Macaca mulatta: one gene and its partners. The protein of the gene in region 2 interacts with the protein of the main gene of each other region in a pairwise test. Links are inferred from orthologs where the notes say so. Each region holds a gene or a part of one and is shown on either strand. Other genes may lie near its edges.

What was found.
Region 1: the proteins of PIN4 (region 2) and CEP72 interact in binary tests that used the Homo sapiens proteins (3 or more experiments, as listed by UniProt). The two-hybrid records come from large-scale screens. The link is inferred for Macaca mulatta from reciprocal best matches to the Homo sapiens genes PIN4 and CEP72.
Region 3: the proteins of PIN4 (region 2) and ZBTB9 interact in binary tests that used the Homo sapiens proteins (3 or more experiments, as listed by UniProt). The two-hybrid records come from large-scale screens. The link is inferred for Macaca mulatta from reciprocal best matches to the Homo sapiens genes PIN4 and ZBTB9.

What each region holds. Positions count from the first base shown.
Region 1 is NC_133411.1:1,701,750-1,706,411, forward strand, and holds the start of CEP72 (centrosomal protein of 72 kDa), read left to right. Parts: upstream 1-1,405; 5' UTR 1,406-1,452; coding exon 1,453-1,534; intron 1,535-4,662. UniProt on the Homo sapiens protein: Involved in the recruitment of key centrosomal proteins to the centrosome.
Region 2 is NC_133426.1:78,727,360-78,732,124, forward strand, and holds the start of PIN4 (peptidyl-prolyl cis-trans isomerase NIMA-interacting 4), read left to right. Parts: upstream 1-1,519; 5' UTR 1,520-1,548; coding exon 1,549-1,591; intron 1,592-4,765.
Region 3 is NC_133409.1:148,823,055-148,827,677, reverse strand, and holds ZBTB9 (zinc finger and BTB domain-containing protein 9), read left to right. Parts: upstream 1-1,366; 5' UTR 1,367-1,566; exon of another isoform or gene 1,567-1,634; intron 1,635-1,816; 5' UTR 1,817-1,887; coding exon 1,888-3,312; 3' UTR 3,313-4,344; downstream 4,345-4,623. UniProt on the Homo sapiens protein: May be involved in transcriptional regulation.

The sequences.
Region 1 (4,662 bases), on a different chromosome or scaffold from region 2:
CACACTCCCCTACACACTCCCTGCAAACACCCCCTACACACTCCCCTACACCATCCACACACACCCCCTACACACTCCCCTACACCATCCACACACACTGCCTGCACACAACCCCTACACACTCCCCTACACACTCCCTGCACACACCCCCTACACACTCCCCTACACCATCCACACACACCCCCTACACACTCCCCTACACCATCCACACACTCCCTGCACACATTCTGAGTACACTTACTGCACACCCCGTGTACAACCTCTGCACACACCCCCTACACACTCCCCTACACCATCCACACACACTCCCTGCACACACCCCCTTACACACTCCCCTACACCATCTGCACACAACCCAGTGTACAGCCCCTGCACACACCCTCTATACACACTCTGTGCACACACACCCGTGTACACCCTCTACACATATCCCTACACACTTCCTGTGTACACCCTCTGTGTATACCCTCATCTACTACCACCATACGTACCCCCACTACCCTGCCTTGTGTATGACTCCCCAGGCTGTGAAATACCAGGGACGTTGCCAATGAGCTGGTCTAATCTGAGGTGAGGGTTTCTGGGTGCCCCCTAGACACCAGGAGAAAGGCAGGGAGGGGACACCCCTAGGGCTTTGGACTCACTCCATGAGGCGCTGGGTCACAGTGGTACAGTGACACAGTAGATGTCCTGAGCGGGATTAAAGTCTTCCCAATGAACAGGCTGAACTCTGTCTTCCTTGAAAGCTCTGTAGAAGGACCTCACAGGGATAAACACAGGGAGACCCTCCAGGGCGCGGTCAGCCATGAGCCACAACGCTGGGCCGGTGACATCTCTGGAGGTTCTGGGGTGCAGAAAGACCGGCTGTGGGGAGTGACTGGCTGGGGAGCAGCTCAGCTCCCGCCCACCTCTGCGAGGCCCGGGGCTGGACGGGAGGTGCAGCAGACAAGGCCCCGGGCGGGTACTGGGGGGTCTGGAGGGGTCCCTGCGTGGGGGTCGGGTGGCGGGGAGTCTAAGAGAGTCGGGGATCCCCGGGGCGCGGGGTTCAGGGTGGGAGCGGAGTGTGAATGGGGAAGGGTCCCCATGCGCACCAGCAGCCGCGATTCCACCGCGCCTACTCGGGCTTTCCCCGGGAGGACACGGCGTGTGTCAAGGACCCGGGCCTAGAAGGCGGCAGCGCCCAGGGAAGCCTAGACGCGGCGCTATCTGGGGCGGGGGCTGGGGTGGCGGAGCCAAGTGCCTGGGAGAACCGCCATTCAGGAGCCCCTCCCGGCCAGGCTCTTGGTTCCGCCCACGCAGGTCCCGCCCCCTAGCCCGGCCCCTCTCCCCGCCCCGCCGCGCAGGCCCCGCCCCGTCCCGCCAGACTCTTGGTTCTGCCCACGCAGGTCCCGCCCCTCTCTTAGCCTTGCCCCGCCCGCCGCGCAGGCGCCGTCCGAGGGCTTCGTTTGAAACATGGCGCGGGCTGGTCCGCGGCTGGTGCTGAGCGAGGAGGCGGTCCGGGCGAAGAGCGGACTAGGGCCTCACCGCGACCTGGGTGCGCCAGCGGGCGGGGGTGCAAGCGTGAGGGTGGCGGGGGGTGGGTACCGAGCTTCCCGGGGCGGCCGCGCCTGGTTGCCTGGGCGGCAGACCGTGGGCAGGTGGGGCTCCTCTGCGCAGGCGCCGCGGGCGTCCGGAACGGTCTCGGGCGGGAGGGCGGGGCGCGCGCGCCCAGGTGAGGACCCCGCCCCTCGTGCCCAGGTGCGGCCCCTGCCCGCGTTCTGGTCCCGGAGTCGCGGCTCCTGCTTGTCTATCGGGTCATTGTGGTACCGTGACTGGCGGTTATATCCGCTGAGGAGAGAGAGCCAGCCTTGCTCTCCAGGAGCGCAGCCCGCCCTCCCGCTGGGGACCCCTCTCCCGGGTTCTCCTGGGCCCATTATGCTGATTGTTGGGCTTGGCCTTCTTGAGGATGTTGGTGGCCGGTTGCCTTCTTTTTGGCCTGTTTTTGTCTGGTTTTGGCGTCAGGGGGAAGCCGAGCTCATAAACTGTTGAGAAGTGTTGTGTTCTCATATTTAGAAGAGGTTCTGTAGAGTTTGTGCTCATTGTTTGAATGTTTTGTGGAATTTTCCAGTGAAACCATATGGACATGTCAATTTCTGGTTTTGAAGCTTTTAAATGACCAATTCTGTATCTCTGGTTGTCAGAGAACCGTTCGTATTATTAGTTCACCTTGAGTCTTGGCTGTGTGGGGTTTTGCGGAGTTGGCTTATTTGAGCTAACTTGTGGAGTGTGTGTGCAGAGTTGTTCCTGGGGTTCTGTTCTTAGCCTGTGAATGTCTCTGTGTGGTCTGCAGGTGTAACTGGACCAACAGGTTCAGTCAGGTGCTGTGGGGCCACAGGCCAATACACTGAGACAGCAGGGTTTGCAGCAGAGAAAGAGTTTAATGCTGGCAGGAGCCCAGCAGGGAGGTGGAAGGAGGCCTCAATCCATCTCCCCAAGGAGATCTGAGCTGGGTTTTTTGGTTTTTTTTGAGACGGAGTCTCACTCTGTCGTCCAGGCTGGAGTGCAGTTGCATAATCTCAGCTCATTGCAACCTCCACCTCCCAGGTTCAAGTGATTCTCCTGCCTCAGCCTCCTGAGTAGCTGGGATTACAAGCGCACGCCACCAAGCCCGGCTAATTTTTTGTATATTTAGTAGAGACAGTGTTTCACCATGTTGGCCAGGCTGGTCTTGAGCTCCTGATCTCAGGTGATCCACCTGCCTTGGCTTCCCAAAGTGCTGGGATTACAGGCATGAGCCACCACGCCCAGCCTGAGCTGGGGTCTTGAAAGGAACAGGATTGTTAGGAGCTGGAAAATTGATGTTGTCAGTTGGTCGAGGTAAGGGCCATGGAATTATCAGGGTGTGGAAACTGCATTCTTTGGTGAATCCGCTTGTGGGGTCCTTTAGACCAGATGGCATCAGTCCCCAGGTCCTCAAAGAATATCTCAAATGGAAAACTTAATGTTTTATAATGTCCAATAATCTGTAGAGTAGTTCTCTGTAGAGTGGTTAAGGGGAACAGTAACATCGTGACAAAGTCCATGTGATCCTGAGGCAGTGATTTCTGATTTTTAAAATTTCGTTCTTTCTGCTTGCTTTGCATTTATTTTATACTTTTTCTAGATTCTTGAGGCAAAAATGTAGATGATTGGTTTGAGACTCTTATTTTCTATTATAAATAGTGCCACAAGTTTCTCTCTAAGCACTACTTTATCTGTATCCACAAATTTTGTTATGTTATATTTTAATTTTCATGCAGTTCAGCATATTTTAAGAATTTCCCTCGATACTTCCTGTTTGACATGTGGTTTTATTTATTTATTTATTTTTATACGGAGTCTTGCTCTGTCACCCAGTCTGGAGTGCAGTGGCACAATCTTGGCTCACTGACAGCTTTTTTTTTTTTATGTTTATGCCATTCTTCTGCCTCAGCCTCCTGAGTAGCTGAGACTACAGGCGCTCCCTACCACGCCTGGCTAATTTTTTTTATTTTTTATTTTTTAGTAGAGACGGGGTTTCACTGTGTTAGCCAGGATGGTCTCAATCTCCTGACCTTGTGATCTGCCCGCCTCTGCCTCCCAAAGTGCTGGGATTACGGATGTGAGCCACCGTGCCTGGCCTGACCTGTGGATTTTTAAGGAGTATGTTTTTAAGGTTCCATGTGTTTGGAGATTTTCCTGTTATTTTTCTGTGTGATTACATTATGGCTAGAGCATAATCTGTATGATTTTAATTCTTTTAAATTTGTCAGGGTTTGTTTTATGATCCAGCATCTGGTCTATATTGTTGAATGTTCCTGCCTTAGCCTCCCAAGTAGCTGGGACTACAGGTGCCCACCACCATGCCCAGCTAATTTTTTGTATTTTTTTAGTAGAGATGGGGTTTCACCGTGTTAGCCAGGATGGTCTCGATCTCCTGACCTTGTGATCCGCCTGCCTCTGCCTCCCGAAGTGCTGGAATTACAGGCGTGAGCCACTGTGCCTGGCCTTCTTTACAGTTTTACGGTTTTCATCTGTCATCTCCATTTTGCTATTAAACTGCTCTTGTGATCTGTATGTTTCTCTGTTCTGTTATTTTTTCTTCATTCCATGATGCTCTAGGTTTCTTTCTTTTGTCTTTCCTTTATATTTGAAAAAATGTCTTCAGCGATTGTCTTAGGGCCGGTCTGCTTGTGACAGGTTCTCTTAGTTTTTCTTTAGAGTTTTTTTTTTTTTCTTGAATGTGTGTGTATTCTGTTGTTGAGTGGACTGTTATGTAAATACATAAATATCAATTAGATCCTGTTTGTTGATGGTATTGTTCAATTCTTCTGTATCCTTGCTGATTTTCTGTCTAGTGACTCTATTAATGACTGAGAGAGGGGTCTTGAACCCTTAACTGTACTTGTGGATTTGTCTATTTCTTTTTTCACTTTATATGTTTTGAAGCCCTGTTATTTGTTGAATTGAATATCTAGGATTTTTATATCTTCTTAGTGGACTGACCCTTTTAGTATATGTAGTCTTCCACTTTTTTTTTTTTTTTTTTTTTGAGACAGAGTTTTCTCCTTGTTGCCCAGGCTGGAGTGCAGTGGCACGACTTTGGGTCACTACAGCCTCTGCCTCCCAGGTTCACACAATTCTCCTGCCTCAGCTTCCCACGTA
Region 2 (4,765 bases):
GTGGGAGGGATTGTAAGGGGAGAAAAAGTGTGTGGGCACACATTCAAAAATCATTTATCTTAGGCAAACACTATTAATATGAGAAAGCCATCATTTTATGTGCTTTACAGATATGAACTTGTTTAATTCTCTTAACACCTGATAGGATAATAGTAGGTACTATTATCATCGACTACATTTTACAGATGATGAAACTGAGCCAAAGAGAGGTGAAGTAACTTCCTCAAGGTCATGGAGCTAGTAGACAGATTTGGAGCAGGGATTTGAAACTGGTCAATCTGGCTCCAGAATCCATGCTTTTACTACATTATGCTGCACCATTATGGAAATTTTGGAAAATACACAGAAATAAACACGATGACCTGTATGTAGCACCACTGGCCACATCTTGCTGTATAGCTTTCCTCTCCTTTATATTCATATACCATACAGTGCATTACATATACTTCTTTTACAAGGAATCATATTCTTTATCTTGGTCTTAAAAACATTTCCCCAGGCCGGGCGCGGTGGCTCAAGCCTGTAATCCCAGCACTTTGGAAGGCCGAGATGGGTGGATCACGAGGTCAGGAGATCGAGACCATCCTGGCTAACACGGTGAAACCCCGTCTCTACTAAAAAATACAAAAAAACTAGCCGGGCGAGGTGGTGGGCGCCTATAGTCCCAGCTACTCGGGAGGCTGAGGCAGGAGAATGGCGTAAACCCGGGAGGCGGAGCTTGCAGTGAGCCGAGATCCGGCCACTGCACTCCAGCCTGGGCAACAAAGCGAGACTCCTCTCAAAAAAAAAAAAAAAAAAAAAACATTTCCCCTATCTGTTCAAAACCGTTATTTTGAATGTTGTATAATATATTTTTGTGTGGCTAAAACATTATTTAAGCAGTACCCGACTGAGGAGCACTTAAGACTGCTTCCAATGTTTCTCCATGACTGAGCTCTGCAAGAGGCAAAAGGGTAACAGGCTTTTTAAAAAACTACCTTTTGAACCCAATTAGCTACAACTGCAGAATAAAATTAACAAACGAAAAACTGCCAGGGCGGACAACCCTATGTGTAGGAGGAGACAGCAGAAGTTAGCCGCCACCACTGTTCCTCCTGCTTCCCTTCGTCTGGCGGCCCCGCGGGATTGGCCAGAGCTGGCGCCGAGGGACTGCAGAGGCCCCCGCGGCTCCTACTGCGCAAGCGTGAAAAAAGCTTGGAGGTTTCGGGGGTAGAGCGTGGGGAGTGGGGGATCTGGTGCAAATTACGGTGCGTGAAAGAAGTCACAAAAAGCGCAGAGGCGGGGCTTCCCGCCCTAATCCGGCCTTTGTCTCCGCCCCTCCGCCTTTGTTTCGGCCCGAAGCGTCTTATTGGTCAGACATCTTCAGCCCCATTGGTCCAAGAGCCAAAGGACAGGGTCTGCCCCGAGCTGTGCCTGCTTCCGGAGCCTCAATAAGAACGGTCAATTGAGATGCGGCTTTCAGGCATTTGTTTAGGACATGCCCATGGCGGTGTAAGGGGGCTTGAACGGCAACTGGAGTAGTTCAGAGTTCAACAACAAGCTTCCAAGATGCCGCCCAAAGGAAAAAGTGGTTCTGGAAAAGCGGGGAAAGGTAGAGCGGCCAGAGCGATCCAGGAGAATGGGGGCGGGTGAGGAGCGAAGGGAGGGAACAGACAGTCCATCTCCGGAGTCCGGGACGAATGCAGCAGGTAGCCAGTGGCCCCACAGTGGCCCCATCGATTCCATCTGTAGGAATACATTGGGCTACGGTTCAGGGAGCGCCCTGATGGGTAATGGAATCTGGTGGGGATAGTTCCTCGGAGGCGATGACTTTAGGGCTGCTATTTTGAGGGGTTATTAGAGCTCTAAAATTGGGTCTTATCAAAAGCCAGTAATAAGAAGTACACATTGATTATGGTCCTTAAAGTTCACTTTAGTGCTTACAGAATGACATGCCCTCCATCGGGGAAGGAATCATTCATCCATTGAACAGAAATGTGCCAGGCACAGTGCTAAGCGCTGAGGATATAAAAATAAGACAGAGGGCTGGGTGCGGTGGCTCACGCCTATAATCCCAGCACTTTGGGAGGCCGAGGGAGAGTGGATCACGAGGTCAGAAGTTCGAGACCAACCTGGCCAACATGGCGAAACCCCGTCTCTACTAAAAATACAAAAATTCGCCAGGCATGGTGGTGCACGCCTGTAATCCCAGCTACTCGGGAGGCTGAGGCAGGAGAATCGCTTAAACCCAGGAGGCAGAGGTTGCAATTGAACCGAGATCGTGCCACTGCACTCCAGCCTGGGCGACAGTGCGAGCCTCTGTCTCAAAAAAAAAAAAAAAAAAAAAAGATTTTGGCCTTAAGGAGCTCCCGAAGATAAAGGCTTAGTGATCATAAAGCACTGTACTAAATGTAGTGTTGAGGGATGTGTATGGGATATAATAGAAATTGAGAGAAGTGCTTCATTTAGCTGGGGAACAGGGCTTCCTGGAGACGAATTAGGCAGAGGTCAAGATGAGCATTGAGGGTAGGTTAAAGCATTCCTAACTTGGGGTCCAGCAGCAAAAGCACTGAGGTGGGAAACAGCATGATGTGAGCAGTGTAGTGTTGCTGGAGCAAAAACTCAAGGCAGAATGGCAAGTGGTGAGAATGAAAACAGAAACAGAGACCAGATCATGGAGAGTGCTATATGTGGTGCTAAAAAGGACTGTTAAGGATCAGAAAGACCTGTAAGGAGATTGTTGTGGTAGTCTTGGTGAGAGATGATGGTGGACTGACCTAAGGCAGTGGCTGTGGGAACTGAGAAAAGAGAAAAGATTCTGTAAACATTAGGATGTGAAATAGTCAAGACTTAGTGATTTATTGGGTTGGGGAGGGGTGGTGAGGGAGGATCAACGATCATTCTGTTTTCTGGATTGGATTTCTAACCTGTTGCAGGTCCTGCAGGCTAACATCAAGGATACATGAGGAGCAGGGATGAGACTGATGAATTCACTTTCAGATAGATTGGCTTTGAGGTGTCTGTGGGACATCTCAGTGGAGATGTAGTCAGGAAGTGGTTGAATATTTGAGTCTGAAGTTTGAGGGAGAGGTCTAGACTGTACATGTAAGTTTTAGGAGTCATTAACTTATAGATGGTAGTTGCGCCCATTAGAGTGTATGCAGTTATCCATGGTGAGTTTATAGAATTAAAAGAGCAGAGAGCAGAGGATGTGATCTAGGACAGGCAGAGAAAGGCAGACAGATAGAGGGAGTGCAGAATGGTGGCCAGAGGCAGGAGAGACCAGAATGTTTTAAAGAGAGAGGGTATAGTCTATCAAGCACGGCAGATTTGGAAATTAGAGGTGGCCTTGGGTAAAAGTGATTTCAGTGAAACAAAAGCCAGATTGCAGTGACTATAGAACTGACTGGGAAGTGGTAATTTGGACTTCTTGAAAAGTTTTAATTGAAAAGCATGGAAATGGGATGGTAGATAGAGGAGGACAGAGGATTAAGAGAAAGTTTTATTTTCTTTGCTTCTTTGGAATGGGGAAAACTTGGGAGTGAAGCTGAAGGATCCAGTAAAGTAAAAGAGGTAAAGGTACAGAGGAGTGAGATTTAGGAGAAAATGGAATCCAGGACCTAAGGGGAGCAGGGACACCTTATGCTTGAGGTCATAGGAAAGGAGATGGAGGGGCAGGGAGTCAGTAGGCATCTTGAGGAGAGTGATAAAGGTCTGGAATATTGTAATGGGAGATGGAATGAAACAAAAGTAAAAGAAGTGCCCTCAGGGCTAGGAGCCTGACTGAGATCAAAGGCCATGAATTTGTAGACTACATAATATTCACAGTCTGATTTACGTGGTACCATGCAACTGGCACAATATAGGATTGAAAAGAGCTAGGTGCAGCCTTAAGCCGTGGTTGAGGTTTTGTTAGGCAGTTATGATAGGACGATAGCAACACAAGGGAATTACAAGGGCCAGTGGGAATGCAGTTCAGATGAACGAGCATGGGGTCCAGAGTGGGAAGGTGAAAAGAGGTCTGGTGGTCTAGGTGAATGTAGCAGGACAAAGGGACTGGGGTCGAGGGGGAGGTTCTGTGAAGTCAGAGAGCCAGTACTGTGGGAATGAGACATGAGAAAGCTGGAAGGACAGGAGGTTATAGCCAGAGACTGAACTAGTTCTGAGTGGCACAGTTGCATTGTGTGCCCCCGGGGCCGGTAGCTTGGAGTAGAGAGCATGACATTCGGGAAAGAGACCTAGAACTGTGAGATTCCTCAAGATAGATGGTGAGGTCACTCAAGGTAATGGCAGGAGTGAGGGTGGAGAGGAAGCCCAAAGCTGTTGCCAGAGTCCTTAGGAAATCAAAGGCAGTGAGGTGGCAGTCAGAAGATGACAGCATCCAGTGGGGAAGAGGATGGGATAACTGGAAGGCATCATCATTCAAGAGCGGATCTACAGCAAACCCAGTTAGGAGTTTGATTTAATAACACTCCTTTGGCAGTAGCATTTTCTTAGGGTTTTGGTAGTCAGTATTTGGGGATTTCAGTTTAATCAAACATTTATTAAAATACCTTTTGTGTGCCAGGCATTGTGGTAGGCTTGGAGATACTAAGACAAGCAAGATGGACACTCCTGCTTAAAACTTTTCAATGGCTCCCTATTACGTCTAAGATAAATCCCAAGCTCCTTAATGGGGCCAAAAGGCCTCAATGACCTGACCCTCAGCTACCTCCCTCAGGCAGGCTCATCTGAGTGCACTCCCACCTCAGATTTGGCTTCATCCATACAATTTCTTACATATACC
Region 3 (4,623 bases), on a different chromosome or scaffold from region 2:
CTTCAGTCCCATCCCCCCACACATACACCCAGCCGGGGCCAAATTTATACTTATATAAAAGTTGTAAATATGTGAAATTTTATCCCTGTGCCCTTTCCCCACCTCAGGCCCTAGCCCTGGACCCTCCCCAACCTTCCTTCTCTCTTCTTTGGCTGTTGTAATTATCTGGGGTTTGTACTGTACATATCCGGGGTGTGTGTGTGTGGGCTGGGGGCAACCCTTCTGTACAGAGCTTCCTGGCCCCCTCCCCCCCCGCCCCTCTGCTTCCCTCCCCACCCACTACCTTAAGGGTAGGGAGATGCTCTTCCTACCTGTTTTATTTTGTTTTCTCGTTCTCCCTCCCCACCCCACTCCCAGCCTTATCTATCCCCCCCTCGCTGTCCCCTTTTCTCCACTCCCAGCCCCATTTCCTTTTTTTCTGGAGTGTGTGGTGAAACAGAAAAAAACATGTTTAATAAACGGAGATTGTTCTTTTATCGCTGTGCCGACTTTCTTAGGCAGGGCTCTCCAGACAGACCTGTACGGTGGTAAGATCTGCTTTCTGAAAGGAAGCTGACAGCCTGAGAGGAAAACCGTACATCCCCACCTGATGCCACACTCTCCTCATAAAATGTCACTCTCCCCTCCCAATGAGAGTTTTTATATTTTAGAGCAGGAGTTTTGCACTGGCCAAACTTCTCCAGTCTCTCCCTCCCCTCACCACTGTGTCACTTAGTCTGAGGCCAGGAACAGCGGCGTTATCTGATAAAAGAATTCATGTATATATCCACATTTATCTCTTTTAAAAATCACCTAGAAGTAAGGTTTCTTTAATTGCTGGTTAAAATGCTCCTGTGCAGAACAGAGGAAAGAACCTGCCTAGTTCCTTAGCAAATCTGAGATCCAGTCCCAGGTCCACTACTATTAACTGAGTGACGCTTCCAGCCCGTTTCCCCCGCCTGGAAACTGAGGACGGCAACCCCCATCCTCGCAGGGCCGGTGGGAGGACACAAGGTGATGTGGGCAAGTGCCAGGCCCACATGGTAAGTGCCCAACTAATCTTGCCCCTCTCAGGACCTACCGGGGGCGGGTGCTACACTTAATCACCGGGAAACGCAGCTTTCCGGGGCGGCTGACGGCCCGCCCCCTCCGACCGGTCTGTTCTCTCCTGGGACCTGGCTCTCGGTCCTCTGTAGCGGCGAGGACTTCGGCAGCTACCCCAGACGCCCGATACGCTGGCACCCTGAGCCAGCGCCCTCCTACTAGCACCGCCCTCCTCGTCTGCGGTAGCCAGTCAACACGAGGCTTGTAGGCTGCCCTTCCTCGATTGGCTACGCCTCTAGCTCCGCCCGCCGCACTTTGCGACGGCGTCCGGCGGGGAGGCGGCGGCTTCCGGCCTGGGACGGAGCTGTAGCGGCACTGTAGCTGCGAGGGCAGCGCCGCGTGTGTAACGGCGGGGGCGTGTCGGCGGGAAGGACAGCCGGGCCGGGACTCCCGGTGTCCGGGTGACCGCGGTTTCCCGGGAGCAGACCTCTGTGGGCACTGTGAGGCGGAACGGAGCGGCGGGGCAGGAGCTGTTCTGGGCAGGTGAAGACAGGCTCGTGGCTGAAGGACCTCCTTCGCATCTTCCACGGGGGCTGGAAGTTACAACCCCGGTTGGTGTTTGGTGGTGGTGGTGGTTTGTTTGTTTTTCTTTCTTGGTGTGCTGGACTGATTTGCAGAAACCGCCACTGACTTAAAAGTTTCCAGTTATTGCTCGTGGGGGGAGGGAGTTGTTTGAAGAGATGTGGCTCCCTTTATCCAGGGCTTCTGTGACCTCCATCTTTTTCCTTTGCAGCCTTCATCCCGCGTAGAGTCTACCCCCAGGCCCCTCTCGTCTTCCCAATTCTTCTCACCTTCGAGGAGGCCATGGAAACCCCAACGCCTTTGCCGCCCGTACCCGCCTCCCCGACCTGCAACCCAGCCCCACGGACAATCCAGATCGAGTTTCCGCAGCATAGCTCATCGCTACTGGAATCTCTGAACCGCCACAGGCTAGAGGGAAAGTTCTGTGATGTGTCCCTCCTGGTGCAGGGCCGGGAACTTAGGGCTCATAAAGCAGTGTTGGCTGCTGCCTCTCCTTACTTCCATGACAAGCTGCTTCTGGGGGATGCACCTCGTCTCACTCTGCCGAGTGTCATTGAAGCCGATGCCTTCGAAGGGCTGCTCCAGCTCATTTATTCAGGGCGTCTCCGCCTACCACTGGATGCTCTTCCTGCTCATCTCCTTGTGGCCAGTGGCCTTCAAATGTGGCAAGTAGTAGATCAGTGCTCAGAGATTCTTAGAGAATTAGAAACTTCAGGTGGTGGAATTTCAGCCCGTGGAGCAAACTCCTACCATGCCCTTCTTTCCACTACATCCTCTACAGGAGGCTGGTGCATTCGCTCTTCGCCTTTCCAGACTCCAGTACAGTCCTCTGCTTCCACTGAAAGCCCTGCTTCCACTGAGAGCCCTGTGGGAGGGGAGGGAAGTGAACTGGGAGAAGTGCTGCAAATTCAGGTAGAAGAAGAAGAGGAGGAGGAGGAAGAAGATGATGATGAGGACCAGGGGTCAGCCACACTCTCTCAGACTCCTCAGCCCCAGAGAGTATCAGGGGTTTTTCCCCGTCCTCATGGACCCCACCCACTGCCCGTGACTGCTACTCCCCGAAAGCTTCCAGAGGGTGAGAGTGCACCAGTTGAGCTTCCTGCCCCTCCTACTGCGCTGCCCCCTAAAATCTTCTACATTAAGCAGGAACCCTTCGAGCCTAAGGAGGAGATATCAGGAAGTGGAACTCAGCCTGGAGGAGCAAAGGAGGAAACCAAAGTGTTTTCTGGAGGGGACACTGAAGGGAATGGGGAGCTAGGGTTCTTGTTGCCTTCAGGGGCAGGGCCAACATCTGGGGGAGGGGGTCCATCCTGGAAACCAGTGGATCTTCATGGGAATGAAATCCTGTCAGGGGGAGGAGGACCTGGGGGAGCAGGCCAGGCTGTTCATGGGCCTGTGAAGCTAGGGGGAACACCCCCTGCAGATGGAAAACGCTTTGGTTGCCTGTGTGGGAAGCGGTTTGCAGTGAAGCCAAAGCGTGACCGGCACATCATGCTGACCTTCAGCCTTCGGCCTTTTGGCTGTGGCGTCTGCAACAAGCGCTTCAAGCTGAAGCACCATCTGACAGAGCACATGAAGACCCATGCTGGAGCCCTGCATGCCTGTCCCCACTGTGGCCGTCGTTTCCGAGTCCATGCCTGTTTTCTCCGCCACCGGGACCTGTGCAAGGGCCAGGGCTGGGCCACTGCCCACTGGACTTACAAGTGACTGCTGAGGCTATATACTAGCTTCTAGAATGAAATAACCACTGCTGCTGATGGGTACTTTTCCCTCACTACCATGGCACACCAGTCATGGATCTTGTAATCATGCCAAGAGAATAGATACATTGATACATTATGGACCTCTTGTTTTAAGATATGGGCCTCTCAGCCTGGCAGATGTGGAAACTCAAATTTCTCATCCCACTCCAGGTTTTGGCTAGCCAACCCTGCAGGAAAGCAGTTTATAGGCCATTCATACTTAAGTTGATCACTTGCCCATGGTGGACATTTTTGTAGTGGTGATGTCCATTAAGGAAACCAGATTTTCAATTATTTAGTGAGAGAAGAATTAGAGCAAAAGACAGTGGTAAATGTTTTATTCCGTCTCCATGAGGAATTAAAGGAGTTGGTCTCCACCTACGGATACATTTGATTTAGAGCTTGAGTAATTCAGAGGCTAAGCTCTAAACTTTTTTCTCTCTCATTGCTGGAATGATTTAAGCAGAATTCCTTTTGTGTACTTTTAAAATTGTATCTTTCCAGGAGCCCCTCAGATTGTACCTTGCTTTCTCACCAGTAGACACCTTTCCAACACTTTTTTAATGTTGTAGTTGAGCACTTTAACAAGTTGAGCATTCCATGTTTCATTCTTAGAACCTTCTTTAATAGAGGGTATTCCCTCAACAGCCTGTGCCTCTGGTCTACCTTTGACCACCACTGGTAACTCATATATTGGTCACAATGACTGGAATGTGACTAGTGATCTCAGGAGATGGCACTGTCCTAAAGTGCTCTCAGGGTGGCACCACTGCTCTCTGAACAAGTTGCCTTGGTCAGAGGGACTCAGGTTTGGGACAGCACAAGCTGAAGGCTGGCGAGTAACTTGCATAATAGGACCATACCTCTTCCTTTCCCATCCCACCCACATATGATAGACAGCCCCTCTGTGGAGATACGGAGGGGATAGATATTGGAATTGGGTGTGGGACTTGCAGTTACTTAAAATTTTTGAATAAACTGTGCCCTGAAACCTAAACTGATAGTGGACTGGATTGAGTAATTTGTGTGGGGGAGAGAGTGAGAACGGAGCTGCAGAGCCTTGGATGTGTTCCTTAGGTGGCTAGGTTATGTTGATGGGGAAGGAATGGGATGGTTTCACACTGGTGCCAAGAACACTCTTCTGGACTTAGGCCCTAACCTGTTACCTGATAACCTTGAGTAGGTTGCCTTACTTTTTTTTTTTTTTTTTTTTTTTTGAGGCAGAGTCTCACTCTGTCCCCCAGGCTGGAGTGCAGTGGCACAATCGCGGGCTCAC